2 linked regions of the Callithrix jacchus genome follow. The protein of the gene in region 1 interacts with the protein of each later gene in a biochemical or structural test. Links are inferred from orthologs where the notes say so. Each region holds a gene or a part of one and is shown on either strand. Other genes may lie near its edges.

Region 1 (7,405 bases):
AGGGCGGGGTGACCGGACATGTCCAGGGAGTGGAAGTCCCCAAAGCTGGAAGCTAGCTCTGCTCATCCTGCAGCTGGCTGTCCTGCTTGGCTTGTGGCGAGTGGAGGCAAGTCCCTGCCCGCCTGGAGCCATCAGATGTACTGCTCCTCATCCCTGTCATTCAGGAGCAGAGACCACTTGTCCCCACCATCATCCACTGTAGCGCTGTGCCGGGATGGCTTGTCAGACGTCAGGGAGGACAGCGACACCTGGCTGACATAGCTGACCTGGTCCCATGGCGTGGCCCTGGGGGAGTCCCTCCGCCTGTCATCCATGCCGATGTGCACACTGACCTGGGATGCCGTCAGGGGCTTTATGCGGCCGTGCACCTGTGCCTCGTACCTCTCCAGTTCAGGCTTCTTATAGCTGGAAAGCAGGAATGCAACAGCATCTGAGCCATTCTAGATACAAGGCTCTTTTTTTTCTAACCTGGTGAAGGCCTCTCATCCATCTTTTCATAACATTCAGTATAAAAACCTCAAGAGTTTCAAAGGAAAAGGGCATTAAACTCCCTATGGTTCCAGGAAAGCTCAACTGATTTAGAAACTTCCTAAGCAAATGCTTTATGCTGCCACTAACTTTAGTTAAATGAATGGACTCATAAATAAGTGAACATCTTGTTTAAAGGAAACAATGATAGATAATACACAGGGACCCATGTCTGCATGATGTTCACATAACAGCCCTTGAGCGGCAGAGTAAGGGCAGCCTGGCATGAGGCTGCACAGCAGTGAACTGCCTGCTCAGGGTGCTAAGTCACACGCACACACACCTGGCTCCATGTGGGCTGCCACTGCAGCATTTATCCCAGGCAAATGAATGGGGAGTGAGAGGCAAGACCCACTGTGCCTTGAGCATGCAGAGTGACAGAGCCTCCTGGGAGCCTCTCACAGATGCCCCACCTGCAGGGACTCACCACTTGAGCTGCAGGGATGAGAGCACCACAGACACGGAGGAGGCTGCCATGGCTGCCGAGCCCATCCAGGGCTGCAGCACAATGCCGATGGGCATGAAGACACCTGGGGAAGAAAGAACTCACACTCACACCTAGGCCTGGGAGAGGAGCCAGGAGAGGGCCTCCAGCACCAGGCTAGCCCCACCCTCAGTGGCCCCCTTGGAGGTCTCCTCCTGGCATGCTTGGAAGCACCTGCTGATGGGTCTTGCCTATAGGTCCCCAAAGCGAGGCTTCCTAGAAAGATGGGTGTGGGGTGCTGTCGAGTGGGCCTGACTCTCTTCTACTCGCCCTCATGTTCCCAGAACCACACACAGATGGCATCCCATTTCAGGGCCAGCTCCACAGGAGTGGCAAAGCACAGGGAGTGGGAGGGGCGGGGGAGGAGAAAAGTGGCAGGAGGTGAGGGAGCCAGTAGCCCATCCTGCAGCCATAGTCCCGCAGAGGATAATCACGGCTGAAGGCCACAGCCCTTGTCTAGAAGATAATGTTGACTCCAGGGCTTCGTAACATCTTCAAGAGAAGAATGAGAGCTGGGTTCCAGGACAGGGTCAGGAGACAGGTATGGTCAATTTTGCATGGCAGAGGCACACACACTGGGGGAATGAAGCTCCTGAGCTGGCTCTAGGGACAGGAAATAAACCTGCCTGACTGACTCACTGGGCTCAGGAGGCCAAGGCCCAGTTATACACATCATCACTAACCACTCAGACACAAGGGAAACCCAGGCAGGAATGCTGAGTTTACAAACTTGATCTCTCTTAAGCCCATGGAGGAGCACTGCCTTGCAGAAGGGTCTGGAAGTTTTCCCTGCCATATTCCATGGAATAGAGGGCAGGAGAGAGGCGGTTGCTGGGGAGGGGGAAGGAGGAGGAATTACAAAGCAGAAAAATCCATTTATTTTCCTTTTTTCTTTTCCTGAGAGTTTCACTCGTGCCCGGGCTAGAGCGCAGTGGTGTGATCATGGCTCACTGCCACCTCCAGCTCCTGGACGCAATACATCCTCCTGCCGCAACCTCTGTACTCCCAGATGGGACTAAGGTATATGCTACCATGCCCAGCTAATTTTAAAATGTTATGTAAAGGGAGACTCTATGTTGCCCAGGCGGGTCTTGAACTCCTGAGCTCAAGTGATCCTCCTGCCTTAGCCTCCCAAAGTGTTGGGATTACAGGCATGAGACAGCATGCCTGGACAAAAAGCCATTTCTTTCCATGATCATCTGTATAAATCAGAGTGAAACTGGGCAGGATTAGTGTCCAATATAAGGTTCTGAAACACCAGCAATTGTGCCTAACATGGTTGGGTGTGGTGGCTCACACCTGTAATCACAGCACCTTGCAAAGACAAGGCTGGCGGATCATCTGAGGTCAGGAGCTCAAGCCTGGCCAACATGGTGAAACCCCATCTCTACTAAAAATACAAAACTTAGCTGGGCATGGTGGCACATGCCTGTAATTCTAGCCACTTGGGAGCCTGAGGCAGGAGTATTGCTTGAACTGAGGAGGTGGAGGTTGCAGTGAGACAAGATTGTGCCACTGCACTCCAGGCTGGGCGACAAGAGTGACACTCCATCTCAAAAAAAAATGCTCCTAGCATGTAGCAGGTGCCTCATAATTCTTACTAATGATGAATTCTCAGACTATATGTCTTAACAAATGGTTCAAAAACATACCCAAGCATCTCCACTAGCTTTTTAGAAAGGATCAGAGTGGATGAAGGCTTTGGGTCCTCTCAGCACTTTCTCATTTACCTTTAGAGACATATAAAGCAGGGGACATAACAAAACCAGCCTTTCTAAAACGCCTCTAGCCAGCCAGTGAGTAAGCCACTCACTAACCTCAGCAGGAACCCAGGAGGGAGAAGCCTTTCTGGGCACAGCTGAAGCACAGTAGTTAAGAGCTGCCTACCTGCCGCAATGGGTATCCCAACCAGGTTATAAATCAGTGCCAGGACCAGGTTGATGCGTATCCTCCGGACAGTCCTCTTGGAAAGGTGAATGCTAGCCACCACATCCAGCAAATCATTCTAAGGGAGAGGAGCACGCGGTGAGGAAGGGGTCTGCCCATCGCCCTCCCAGCTCCCACAGCCTGGCTACAGCTGTGCTCACTCTAATGAGGACGACGTCGGCTGCCTCAATGGCCACATCTGTGCCAGTGCCGATGGCGACACCCATGTCTGCCTGGGCCAAGGCCGGAGAGTCATTCACCCCGTCTCCCACCATGGCGACTTTCTTCCCTTTGTTCTGAAGCTCCTGGACCTTGGCCACCTTGTGGGAAGGCAGCACCTCTGCAAAGACTTTGTTGATGCCAACCTAAGAGGAAAGGAAGGCAACGCCTGGTGTTGGCAAAAGGTATCGAACTGCAGCAGAAACCCCAAGTTACCCTTGCCCCCTCTGCCCCTGGGTCCAGTCAGTGATGTTGGTCAACTATACCCTGCAGGTTTGCTGTCATAAGGCCACCTTCTCCCTGGCTCCTGCCCCAACACCCTATACTGGTTTAGGACCCGTCCTTTCCTGGATGTGCAAACAGCCCCCTTGCTGTTCTCCCTGTCCACCGCTTAGTCCCCCAACTCTCTTATCCATGTGCTGCCTCCACAGTCTTCCCAAAGCAACTGTGTGGCCAAGTCCCTACTCTCCTGCCTCACATCCTCCAGAGGACCCCACGCACTCCCAGAGGAGGGCAGCTCAACTCTCTGGGGTCTGCTTCCGAGGCCCCCAGGGTCCCAGGGTCTGGCCTCTGCCTGACGGCCTGCAGCTGGTGTCACACTCAACCACACCATTCAGCTCCCCGCAGCATCTCCAATCACCTTGCTACTCTGTGCCCCTGGGAAATGCTCCTGCTGCTGGTTGTGTCCTGGAAGGTGCAGTTTCCCTTTCCTAGTCCCTCTCCCGCTTCTCAGCTCTATGCCCTGTCCCTGGTCCACCTTTCCATAGGACCATAAGCCCCTCAAGCGCAGAGCCCCTTTCACTCCTCACAGAGCCTGGCCCCACACCTGACTGTCACATTTGTGGTATTTTGTAAGTGTCCGCTGAACAGATGAACAAGTGTTAGCCAGGAAATGGGGGATGGACACTCAATAGGTCCATTGTTAGCAAGGAGGACCACGGAAAACAGGGGTCCTGATTTTTCCCTCATGGACATAATGAGGCTTTCAGATGACTAGAGCTCTGCACGCATTTGGAGGGGTGTAATTTCTAGGAATCTAAACTGGAGCCACTGCTATGTGGGGAGCCAGGCAGCCCTCCAGTGGTGCTGTGCTCACAGCCCAAACTCAGCACCAAGGGCTGCTGGAGAACTGCCCAGGACCAAGTCACTTATCTGGGCACCCCAGTGAGAAAAGCTGAGCTGGCAAAATCTTCCCTTAACATAAAAATTAGAAAATGTCTATCTTAGCCCTTAAGCCACAAACTTTTTTTCCATCACGAAGACTAGAAGAAGGTTAGAGAACAGCAGAATTCCTTTTTCTAGGATGCATGCGCTCAGGCCCCAGGGATAAGATCTCTGCACAGCAGCACAGCACTCGTGGAACACTGCACAGCCACAGAATGATGCACGTGGAGAGAAAAGCACCCAGTGAAGGGGAAAGAGCAGGAGTACTGCTGAGCGCTGGGCCAACTGGTGCTTACTTTTGCCTCTAACTGCTACTATGAGCTTTACACAGTTTGCAACATTAAAGGGCTGTACCTGGGTGGCAATGGCTCTGGCTGTCTTCCGGTTGTCCCCCGTGATCAGAACCACATCTACACCCATGCTCTGCAGCGTGTGCACAGCCAAGGCGGCCTCCTGCTTGACAGCATCTGCTATAGCAATCATCCCACAGAGCACACCTGGAGCAAACCAGCCAGCATCAGCAGCTACACAGGATAGGGCACCCCGCACGGAGCTACCATACTTGCAATGTTCTCATCATACAGTGTTATGTGCAAAAAACAAACACCAGATTATATATAATAATACCATGGGGTTTTCTAGCTTTTTAAAAAGTACACACATTTTACAGACACACACAAGAGTCTAGAAGCAATATAATTAAAATCTTTGCAGTGGCGCCCTGAAGAAGAGGATTATGAGTAATTTCATTTTCTTCTTTATAGCTGAATTTTCCAAACTTTCTGCAAGGAGAATGGATGACATTTTGCAAGGTGCCGGGCTTGAAATAAGAATTCAATACACATTAGCTACTAAAATTTGAGAAATATAACAGATGTCACTTAAAGTGGTAACTGTCCAAACTAGAAAATCAATCCTTCATTTGCCTTTTCCTACAGAAAACATTTCTGCAGCATTTTGCTTTTAGTGTATCTTTTTAGTTATAGAAGCAGGGGGGCTCTTAGGGCTGAGGTGTAAATGAGAACAGAGTGAGGGATGACATATGAGAGGGCACGACTCCTTTAGTTGTGCCAATTCTGGTTTGACAGCTGAGAGGACTTTATAAAGACTTGGAAAAAATTGAAAAAAAAAAAAAAAAAAAAAGAGAATGTGAGAGGAAGACATATTTGGCTGAAGCATTCAAAACGTGGTGTCATAAGTTTTATTTCTTGCTTGCATATACTGTTACTTCTATTAGCAGAAACTTATATTAACAAAGTAAAGACTCTACTCTCTCTGGTATGTAAAGCCCAGGATAGAATCTGAGCACTAAAACACATGCAGTCTTGAGACCTGTACTCTGTGCACAACCAGTCTGTATAAAGCACAGACAGAAGGGCCGTACATGGTGGCTCACACCTGTAATCCCAGCACTTTAGGAAGCCGGGGTGGGCAGATCACCTAAGGTCAGGAGTTTCAGATCAGCCTGGTGAAACCCCATCTCTACTAAAAATACAAAAATTAGCCAGGCATGCTGGCAGGTGCCTGTAATCTCTGCTACTCAGGAGGCTGCAGCAGGAGAATCACTTGAACCCAGGAGGTGGAGGTTGCAGTAAGCCGAGATTGTACCACTGCACTCCAGCCTTGGTGACAAGAGCAAAACTTGGCCTAATAATAATAATAATTAATAAATAAAGTAGATAGAGAAGAGCAGCATGGATCTCATTATTTAAAGGTGTCCTGTAGTTAAACCTGTTTCCTGCTCTGTCTACAGGGATGAATGAGAAGGATGACTCTGAACTGCCCACCTGGACAAGAGCAACAATGATAACAAAGACAGTTTAGAATTCCAAGGTCAAGAAGACTGAGGCCAGACCACAGCTGGCTCTGGGGCCAAGATGGAGACCGTGGGAAAGAACGAAAAGACAAAAAGACAATCTTTTTGAAGACGTGAAATTAAAGAGAGGAAGGTTTTTGTTTTTCATTTCTTTTTTAAAGGAGGACTCTTTTGCCAGATATCTGCAGAAAACTGCATTTCTGAGAGAGCGGAAGGAAGGCAGAAGCAGGAGATACCATCAATAGCCACCAGGATGGCCGTCTGTCCTTTCATCTCGTGGTCTGTCATAGCGTCACTGACATCGTTGGAAATGGTTAAGCCGTTGCGCCTCAGCCATTCGCGGTTTCCAATCAGCACAGAGAAGGTCTGGGGGGCTGCATCTATTCAAAAGAGGCTGTGGTTATTCCTAAATAGTCCAATTTCACTATAAACTAAAAACCATGTAATCCTTTTAATAGCAAAATATCCATTTAGCCATTCTGAAAAACTGTTACCTAGTAAGCACCTCCTGTGACAGCATCCTTTAGGACAAGAAAAAAAGTAAAATTAATTTGTAGGACATGTGGGTATGAATTAAGATGGGGCATTAATAGTACATGCTATATGGGTGGAAACGGTATAAACATACTAAACATAAGGCAACGTCCGTCTCTGTCTTAGAGGTATCCACTGATTCTTTTTCTGCAGGGATTAGAAGCACTTATTTATTTCCCCAGCACCCAAAGCAAGTGTTGACGATGTTCATTACTGCTTGGTATCGATGACCCCACGTGAATCAACAAATAATCAGACAAGTCTATATGAAATGTTTAAAACTGCAACTCCTGAGGCTGATGCATCTCTTACCTGTCACTTTCTAACAGTGTGTGCTGCTAACTGAGGTGTCACTGCACAGCCAGGCTCTCATGGAAAGGCCATCCCTGGGTTTTAAACGGCTGGAAGGTGGTGGATGGCTTACAACCACACAATCTAAGTCACAATTTCACTACCAACACTTAGGAAAAACACTGGTCATGGGTTTTGTTTTCTACCTTTTATGCTGGTGGCTGACAAGCTACTTTGAGAATAAGAAAGGCCATCCTTCAGAAGCAGTTGTCCCTCCAAGCAGTGTCCCTTCCTGGCTTGGGCAGACCATTTCCCTCTGCTTTCCCTGACATTTTCTACCAGTTCTGTAAATACCATCAGAGTTCTACCACACAGGATGGAAACAGGAAGAACAAAAGGAGAATTCCCCACCTGCCTACCCTGTAGCTTATGAGAAGCAAGAC
Region 2 (6,989 bases), on another chromosome or scaffold:
CCAGAGTAGCAGAAAGCAAATTAGTGGCTGCTGGGGAATGGAGAAATGGGGAGTGGGGAGTGACTGTGTAATGGATAGAGGGTGTGTTTCTGAGATGATGAAAAAGTTTTGAAACTAGAGAGAGATGGTGGTCGTACAACATCGTGAATGTACCAAACGCCACTAAATGATAAACTTTAACCCATTTATGCCTAGTGTTCCATTACTGGAACGCTAAACTTGTGGGAATTAACTTATATCCTACTGCTCAAGATCATCACCAAGTTTTGATTTTTTCACACATAAAAAGGTGCAACATCCAGCATAAATGGGTTAAAATAGTTAATTATAATATCTTGTGAATTTCATATCAATAACATGAGAAAACATGTTTCCTATGAGAAAACCACATTAAGCTTCATGTGGTTTACATCCAACAGATAATACTTTTTTAGTTAAAAAAGTTCATATGCCCAGGCCAAGAGTTTCTAATCTAAGATGTGTGCATTAGGACTCCCCCATGTATATAGCTAGCTCAGGAAGAGGTTTTTTCCTTCTCTCCCTCCATTCCTTCTTGTTAGAGGGCACTTTTATCAAATACAATCTTACAGAAAAGCCCAATAGGGCTGTCTGGGAGCTCTGGAGGGTCCAGAGCCCCATCCACTCACCCTCCCTACAAAACCCTAGGGGTGGAGGTAGGATGTAAGAAACGGTGTTCTATAAGATGCTGGAAACTGCTGATGTTTTACTTCCCTAGAGGATAAGCCTTCATATGTGGAGAAATTGCACAGCAACCCCCACAAGGCAGGAAAGCAGGTTGGAGGTTTTAGCTCCATTTTACAGCTGGGAAGAACAAATCTCTGTAATATAAAAAGTGTCCAAAGTCAGTGTGAAATGAGGAGAGAATGAGAATTAGAATCCTAGATTCCAGGCTGGGCACAGTGGCTCATGCCCATAATCCCACTTTGAGAGGCTGAGGGGGGTGGATCACAAGGCCAGTTTGAGACCAGCCTGGCCAGATGGTGAAACTCCATCTCTACTAAAAATACAAAAATTAGCCTGGCACAGTGGCAGGTGCCTGTAATCCCAGCTACTCATGAGGCTGATAATCGCTTGAACCCGGGAGGCAGACGTTGCAGCGAGCGAAGATCGTATCACTGCACTTTAGCCTGGGCAACAGAGCAAGACTCTGCCTCAAAAAAAAAAAAAAAAAAAAGAGGGCCGGGCGCAGTGGCTCACACCTGTAATCCAGCACTTGGGAGGCCAAGGCGGGTGGATCACGAGGTCAAGAGATCAAGACCATCCTGGTCAACATGGTGAAACCTTGTCTCTACTAAAAATACAAAAAATTAGCTGGGCATAGTGGCGCGTGCCTGTAATCCCCAGCTACTCAGGAGGCTGAGGCAGGAGAATTGCCTGAACCCAGGAGGTGGAGGTTGTGGTGAGCCGAGATTGCGCCACTGCACTCCAGTCTGGGTAACAAGAGCAAAACTCCATCTCAAAAAAAAAAAAAAAGAATTCTGGATTCCTTATTATTCATCCTGGGCTCATTCCTGCACATGGGTTCTAGCTATGGATGAAAAGTGCATGACAAAAACAGATGCCTGTGACATCTTGTGACTTGCATTTGATGTCACCACATACACAGAGCACTGCTGTGGCTCAGGTTCCAAATGTACACCTTTGGGAAGGAACTATCAGTCAGCTGTGGCTGGCTCCTATCTGGAGGGTCTCCAGGACCCATTCACAGGGACAATGCCACCAGTAACAGTTACAGAAATCCAATTCAGGATATCTGACTGTCCTCCTGCCTTTGCCACTCACCTGGGTGGGGCTTTGGTTGAATCACTTTCCCTCTCTTGGCCTCATTTTTCTCAATCACAGTCAGGGCACTAAGTCACATCAGGGATGTGGCGATCATTGTAGTTCACAAGTCAAAGACACTACAGGGGCAGTGGCAGCTGGGAGGGCCCTGCTGAGACTGTGGCTGAATCAATGAATAAGGTGTGTCTGGTTCCAGAGTGAAGAGTGCTGGCACAGTGCCCCTTACTGCCTCACTGGATTACATAAAAGTGAAGGGAACATCTAGCTCAGATATGCTATTGTTTTTGTACCAGGCTGGAAGGAGGGCATGTGCAGGAAGCTGACAACAGTTTCAAGTAGAGAGAGTGGCACAGTCTGAATTAACTCACTTGGTCAGGGTACAAGAGAACAAGGCCCAAGGCAAAAGTGTCAACTCTGATGAGATAGTCAGTTTATCAAAGCCAGAGCCATGCATGGTGATATGTGCCTGTAGTTCCAGCTACTTAGAAAGCTGGGGCAGGAGGATGACTTGAGCCCAGGAGTTAAAGTATACAGTGCACTGTGATCACACCTATGAAGAGCTACTGCCCTCCAGCCTGGGCCACAGAGTGAAACACTGTCTCAAAGAAACAAACAAATCAAGAAGCCAAAGGTGCATTGCTTAGGGTCATATACTATAAACTTAAACCCTGCTAACCATGAAATGCAACCCCCACATCCTAAAGAGGACTCTGGGAGACATTACACAGTGCTCTGTCCAATGACAGGGGCTGTAAGGATTCCCTGAACTTGTGATTTGCATTAGACATATATTTGTAACCACTCCAAAGAAAGTGGACAGTGGATTGAAAAGAACCCGGGGGCTCTCCTGCTCCACTCAAGCTCTCAAAGGCCAAGGTGTTAACTCTGATGAGAAGTGTGAGCAGCAGGTTTGTTCAGCAAGTGCTGGAGCCTCACCCACCTGCCCCCTTTGGTCCATCCTGCGGGCTGTGGGGACCAGGTCCCTGCTACTCGAGGCCAAGGTAGGACACAGTCTTTCCTGTTTTCTTCAGGGTTGCAAGCAGAGTGTCCATGCTGTGCTCAGATTCAATGCAGACCTTCTTGTTAGGCAGGTCAATGTCATACTTAACTCCTGCAGGAAGAGGAAACAGGGTGTGGGGAAAGGGAGCAGAGACCCTCCCAGTTACAGCAAGAAAGAGTTCAGGCTCTAAATTACTACTCACAACTACCCCTTCCCTTTTCTCTAGAGCAGGGATTGGCAAACTTCTTCTGTAACGGACCAGGAGGTAAATGTTTTGGGCATTGTGGGCCACATATGCACTCTGTTGTATATTGTTTTATTTATTTATTTATTTTATTTATTTTTGAGACAGAGTCTCACTCTGTTGCCCAGGCTGGAGTGCAGTGGCATGATCTCAGCTCAATGAAACCTCCACCTCCCAGGTTCAAGAGATTCTCCTGCCTCAGCCTCCCAAGTAGCAGGGATTATAGGCACCCACCACTAGAACAGGCTAATTTTTGTATTTTTAGTTGAGACGAGGTTTCACCATGTTGGCCAGGCTGGTCTAATGCCTCAGCCTCACAAAGTGCTAGGATTACAGACGTGAGCCACCACACCCAGCCATTCTGTCTGTTTTTATAATTCCATTCTTGAACGTACAAAAATAGGCTGTGAGTAGGATTTGGTCCATGGGCTGTAGTGTGTTAATCCCTGCTCTATACTAGGGCTTTTTGAGACACAGACACACTCTACTGCCCAAGCTGGAATGCAGTGGTACGATCTCAGCTCACTGCAACCTCCACCTCCTGGGTATAAGTGATTTTTGTGCCTTAGCTTCCAGAGTAACTAGAATTACAGGTATATGCTACCACACCTGGCAAATTTTTGTATTTTTAGTAGAGTCAAGGTTTAGTCATGTTGGCTAGGCTAGTCTCGAACTCCTAACCTCAAGTGATCTGCTCGCCTTGGCCTCCTAAAGCGCTGGGATTACAGGCATGAGCCACTGCACCCAGCCAATTTTTTTTTTCAAAAAAGCAAACATTTCTAAATATATGTAGAAGCAGTAAGGCCCCCTACTGATCCTACCCCCAGAGATCACTGTGAAAAGTACGGCTTCTATTCAGACTATCACAGATAGACAAATGAAAAATAACTCTTCCAAATGGTATCACATTGTATAAACCGGTCTTGCTAATATTTTACTTTTCTTTTTCTTCATTAATTTTAATTTTTTTTTTTTGAGACAGGGTATCACTGTGTTATCCAGGCTGGAGTACAGTGGCACATTCACAAATCACTGCAACCTCGAACACCCAGGCTCACGTGATCCTCCCGTCTCAGCCTCCCAAGTTGCTGTAACTACAGGCACATGCCACCATGCCTGGTTAAGTTTTGTATTTTATGTAGAGACAGAGTTTTACATATTGTCCAGGCTGGTCTTGAACTTCTGGGCTCAAGCGATCTACCTGCCTCAGCTTCCCATAGTGCTGGGACTACAGGTGTGAGCCACTGTAGCTGGCCCATTCTTTTTTTTTTTTGAGACAGTCTCATTTTGTCGTCCAGGTGGGAGCGCAGTGGGGTGATCTCAGCTCACTGCTGCAGCCTCTGCCTCCCGGGTTCAAGTGATTCTCTTGCCTCAGCCTCCTGAGTAGCTGGGATTACAGGCATGAGCCACTGCACCCAACCCCATTCTTTTATCAAAAGCTACAATCTTCCATAGTGTGGATGTACCACACATCTACTTAATTAATCCACTGCTAAAGGTCACTGAGGATGCTTCTAAGTTTCACCACTATCACAATAATGTTATAGTAAACATACCTGAACTTGTCTTAAAAAATTTATAAAAATATTTTTATACCATGGATTCACAGAATGGAAATTGTGGGGCAACAGATGTTTGGCACATTTTTAATGTTTAATAGACATTGCAAAATCACTCTCCTAAATGTATATGCCAATTTAAAGCTCCCCAGCAGCCTATGGGAGGAATTAGAGTTTTATTCTGACAAAACAGTGCAGAAAGAAAGGGAAACTCAACAGGTTGTAGGCCTGGCCCCACAGTTGACTTGCTGGGTGACCACGGGGTGATGGCGGGTCCTGCTTCTTACAGGCCTCAGCTACCTCATCTGTATATGAAGGAGTCAGGGCTGGCCAGCTCCTGTGGTCTTTCCAGCTCAAGGATGCCACTAGTCTGTGACTCCTCAGCCCTAGCATCGTTCTTTTAGGGTCCTAAGCAACTCAGAAAACCCTCCTGACCCTTCTCAAGAGGTCACACAAAAGGGGACAGTAGGAAAAGATGGGGACAAAAGATGACGCTGAAGCTCAAAGGCAGATCCTCCAGCAAGGGACCTTAAAAATCATATGGTTGGCTGGGCATGGTGGCTCATGCCTTTAATCACAGCACTTTGGGAGGCTGAGGTGGGTGGATTACCTGAGGTTAGGAATTCAAGACCAGCCTGGCTAACATGGTGAAACTCTGTCTCTACTAAAAATACAAAAATTAGCTCAGTGTGGTGGCATGTGGCTGTAATCCCAGCTACTCGGGAGGGTAAGGCAGGAGAGTCGCTTGAACTTGGGAGGTGGAGGTTGCAGTGAGCCGAGATTGTGCCATTGCACTCCAGCCTGGGCAACAAGAGTGAAACTCTGTCTCAAAAGAAAAAAAAAAAAATCAGCCAGGCTTGGTGGTGGGCACCTTTAATCCCAGCTACTCAGGAGGTTGAGGCAAGAGAATTGTTTGAGCCTGGCATGGGGCGGGAACACAGGTTGCAGTGAGCCGAGGTTGCACCACTTCACTCTAGCCTGGGCAACAGATCGAAACTCCATCTCAGAAAAAAAAAAAAAAGCATCAACAGCAAAAGCTGATACAGATATACAAGATATAATTCCCATACTACAGCTGGGGAAACCCAGGCCTAAGGAAGAAGAGCCCACAGTCACGTAGCAAGTCAGCAGCCAGGTTTTTTCCACTGCCTCAGGTTCTTTCATATTAAGATCCCAGTTCACAGGGCTAGAGGCCAACCACTGACTCACTGTGGGACTCTGGGCAAGTCACTTCCCCTCCTGAGCACTGGCCTCAATATCCCCATTCCAAAGATGGAAAGTACAGCTCAGAGGACTGCTAATAAGATCACATCCATGTGGAAGCCATTTGAAAACTTAATATCATTATTATTTACGGTTTAAAAAATTTTTTTTAGAAAATTTTGTGATAGTTCATGTCAAGGAGAAAGAAAAGGAAAAAATCTGAGAAAGGCTGACTGAGTGCAGGCACTGCCAAAACTCTGATCACAACTCAATTATTACCTCATTCAGCCCCAGGGCCAGATCCCAGCCCTCTCTGGGCCTCAGTTTCCCCAGCTCTGAAATGACAAGGCTAGATGAGAATGGCTGTTCAAAAGAGGTGCTTTAAGAATATCTACAGGGCCAGGCACGGTGGCTCATGCCTATAATCCTAGCATTTTGGGAGGCAAAGGCAGGTGGATCACTTGAGATCAGCAGCCCAAGACCAGCCCAGCCAACACAGTGAAACCATGTCTCTATGAAAAATACAAAAATTAGCTGAAAATCATCTGAACCCATGAGGCAGAGGTTACATCGAGCCGAGATCACCCCAATGGACTCTAGCCTGGGCAACAGAGCAAGACTCCATCTCAAAAAAAAAAAAAAAAATCTGCATGTGAGTGATTCAAAATTAATTAAAAACTTTTTTTTTGAAGTAAAGAGAAAAGGACAAAATTTTAAAAATTGTTATCGTTTTAAAAAATCTCTCTTTTTTCTTGGATACAGGTCTTGCTAACTGCAGCCTCAAACTCCCGGGCTGAAGTGATCCTCCCACCTCGGCCCCACACAGTAACTGGAAGGACAGGCATGTGCCACCATGCCTGCCTAATTCTTTTGCTATTTTTTGTAGAGATGTGGTTTTACCATGTTTCCCAGGCTGGTCTCAAGAACTCCTGAGCTCAGGCAAACTGCACACCTCAGCCTTCCAAAAAATGCTGGGATCACAGGTGTGAGCCACTGTGCCCAGCCCCATTTAAAAAAATCTTAACATAGGTCAGACACAGTGGCTCATGCCTATAATCCCAGCACTCTGGGAGGCCAAGGTGGGCAGATCACCTCAGGTTGGGAGTTCGAGACCAGCCTGACCAACATGGAAAAACCCTCTCTCTACTAAATATACAAAATTAGCTGGGTGTAGTGACAC

What was found. The genes of interacting proteins can lie anywhere in the genome.
Region 2: the proteins of ATP7B (region 1) and ATOX1 form a complex in vitro, tested with the Homo sapiens proteins (3 studies listed by BioGRID and IntAct). The link is inferred for Callithrix jacchus from reciprocal best matches to the Homo sapiens genes ATP7B and ATOX1.

Annotation. Positions count from the first base shown.
Region 1 is NC_133502.1:63,898,637-63,906,041, forward strand, and holds part of ATP7B (copper-transporting ATPase 2), read right to left. Parts: intron 6,659-7,405; coding exon 6,632-6,658; intron 6,518-6,631; coding exon 6,374-6,517; intron 4,819-6,373; coding exon 4,676-4,818; intron 3,304-4,675; coding exon 3,100-3,303; intron 3,018-3,099; coding exon 2,900-3,017; intron 1,059-2,899; coding exon 956-1,058; intron 406-955; coding exon 132-405; 3' UTR 1-131. UniProt on the Homo sapiens protein: Copper ion transmembrane transporter involved in the export of copper out of the cells. It is involved in copper homeostasis in the liver, where it ensures the efflux of copper from hepatocytes into the bile in response to copper overload.
Region 2 is NC_133503.1:50,694,008-50,700,996, forward strand, and holds part of ATOX1 (copper transport protein ATOX1), read right to left. Parts: intron 2,915-6,989; coding exon 2,790-2,914; 3' UTR 2,744-2,789; intron 1-2,743. UniProt on the Homo sapiens protein: Binds and deliver cytosolic copper to the copper ATPase proteins. May be important in cellular antioxidant defense.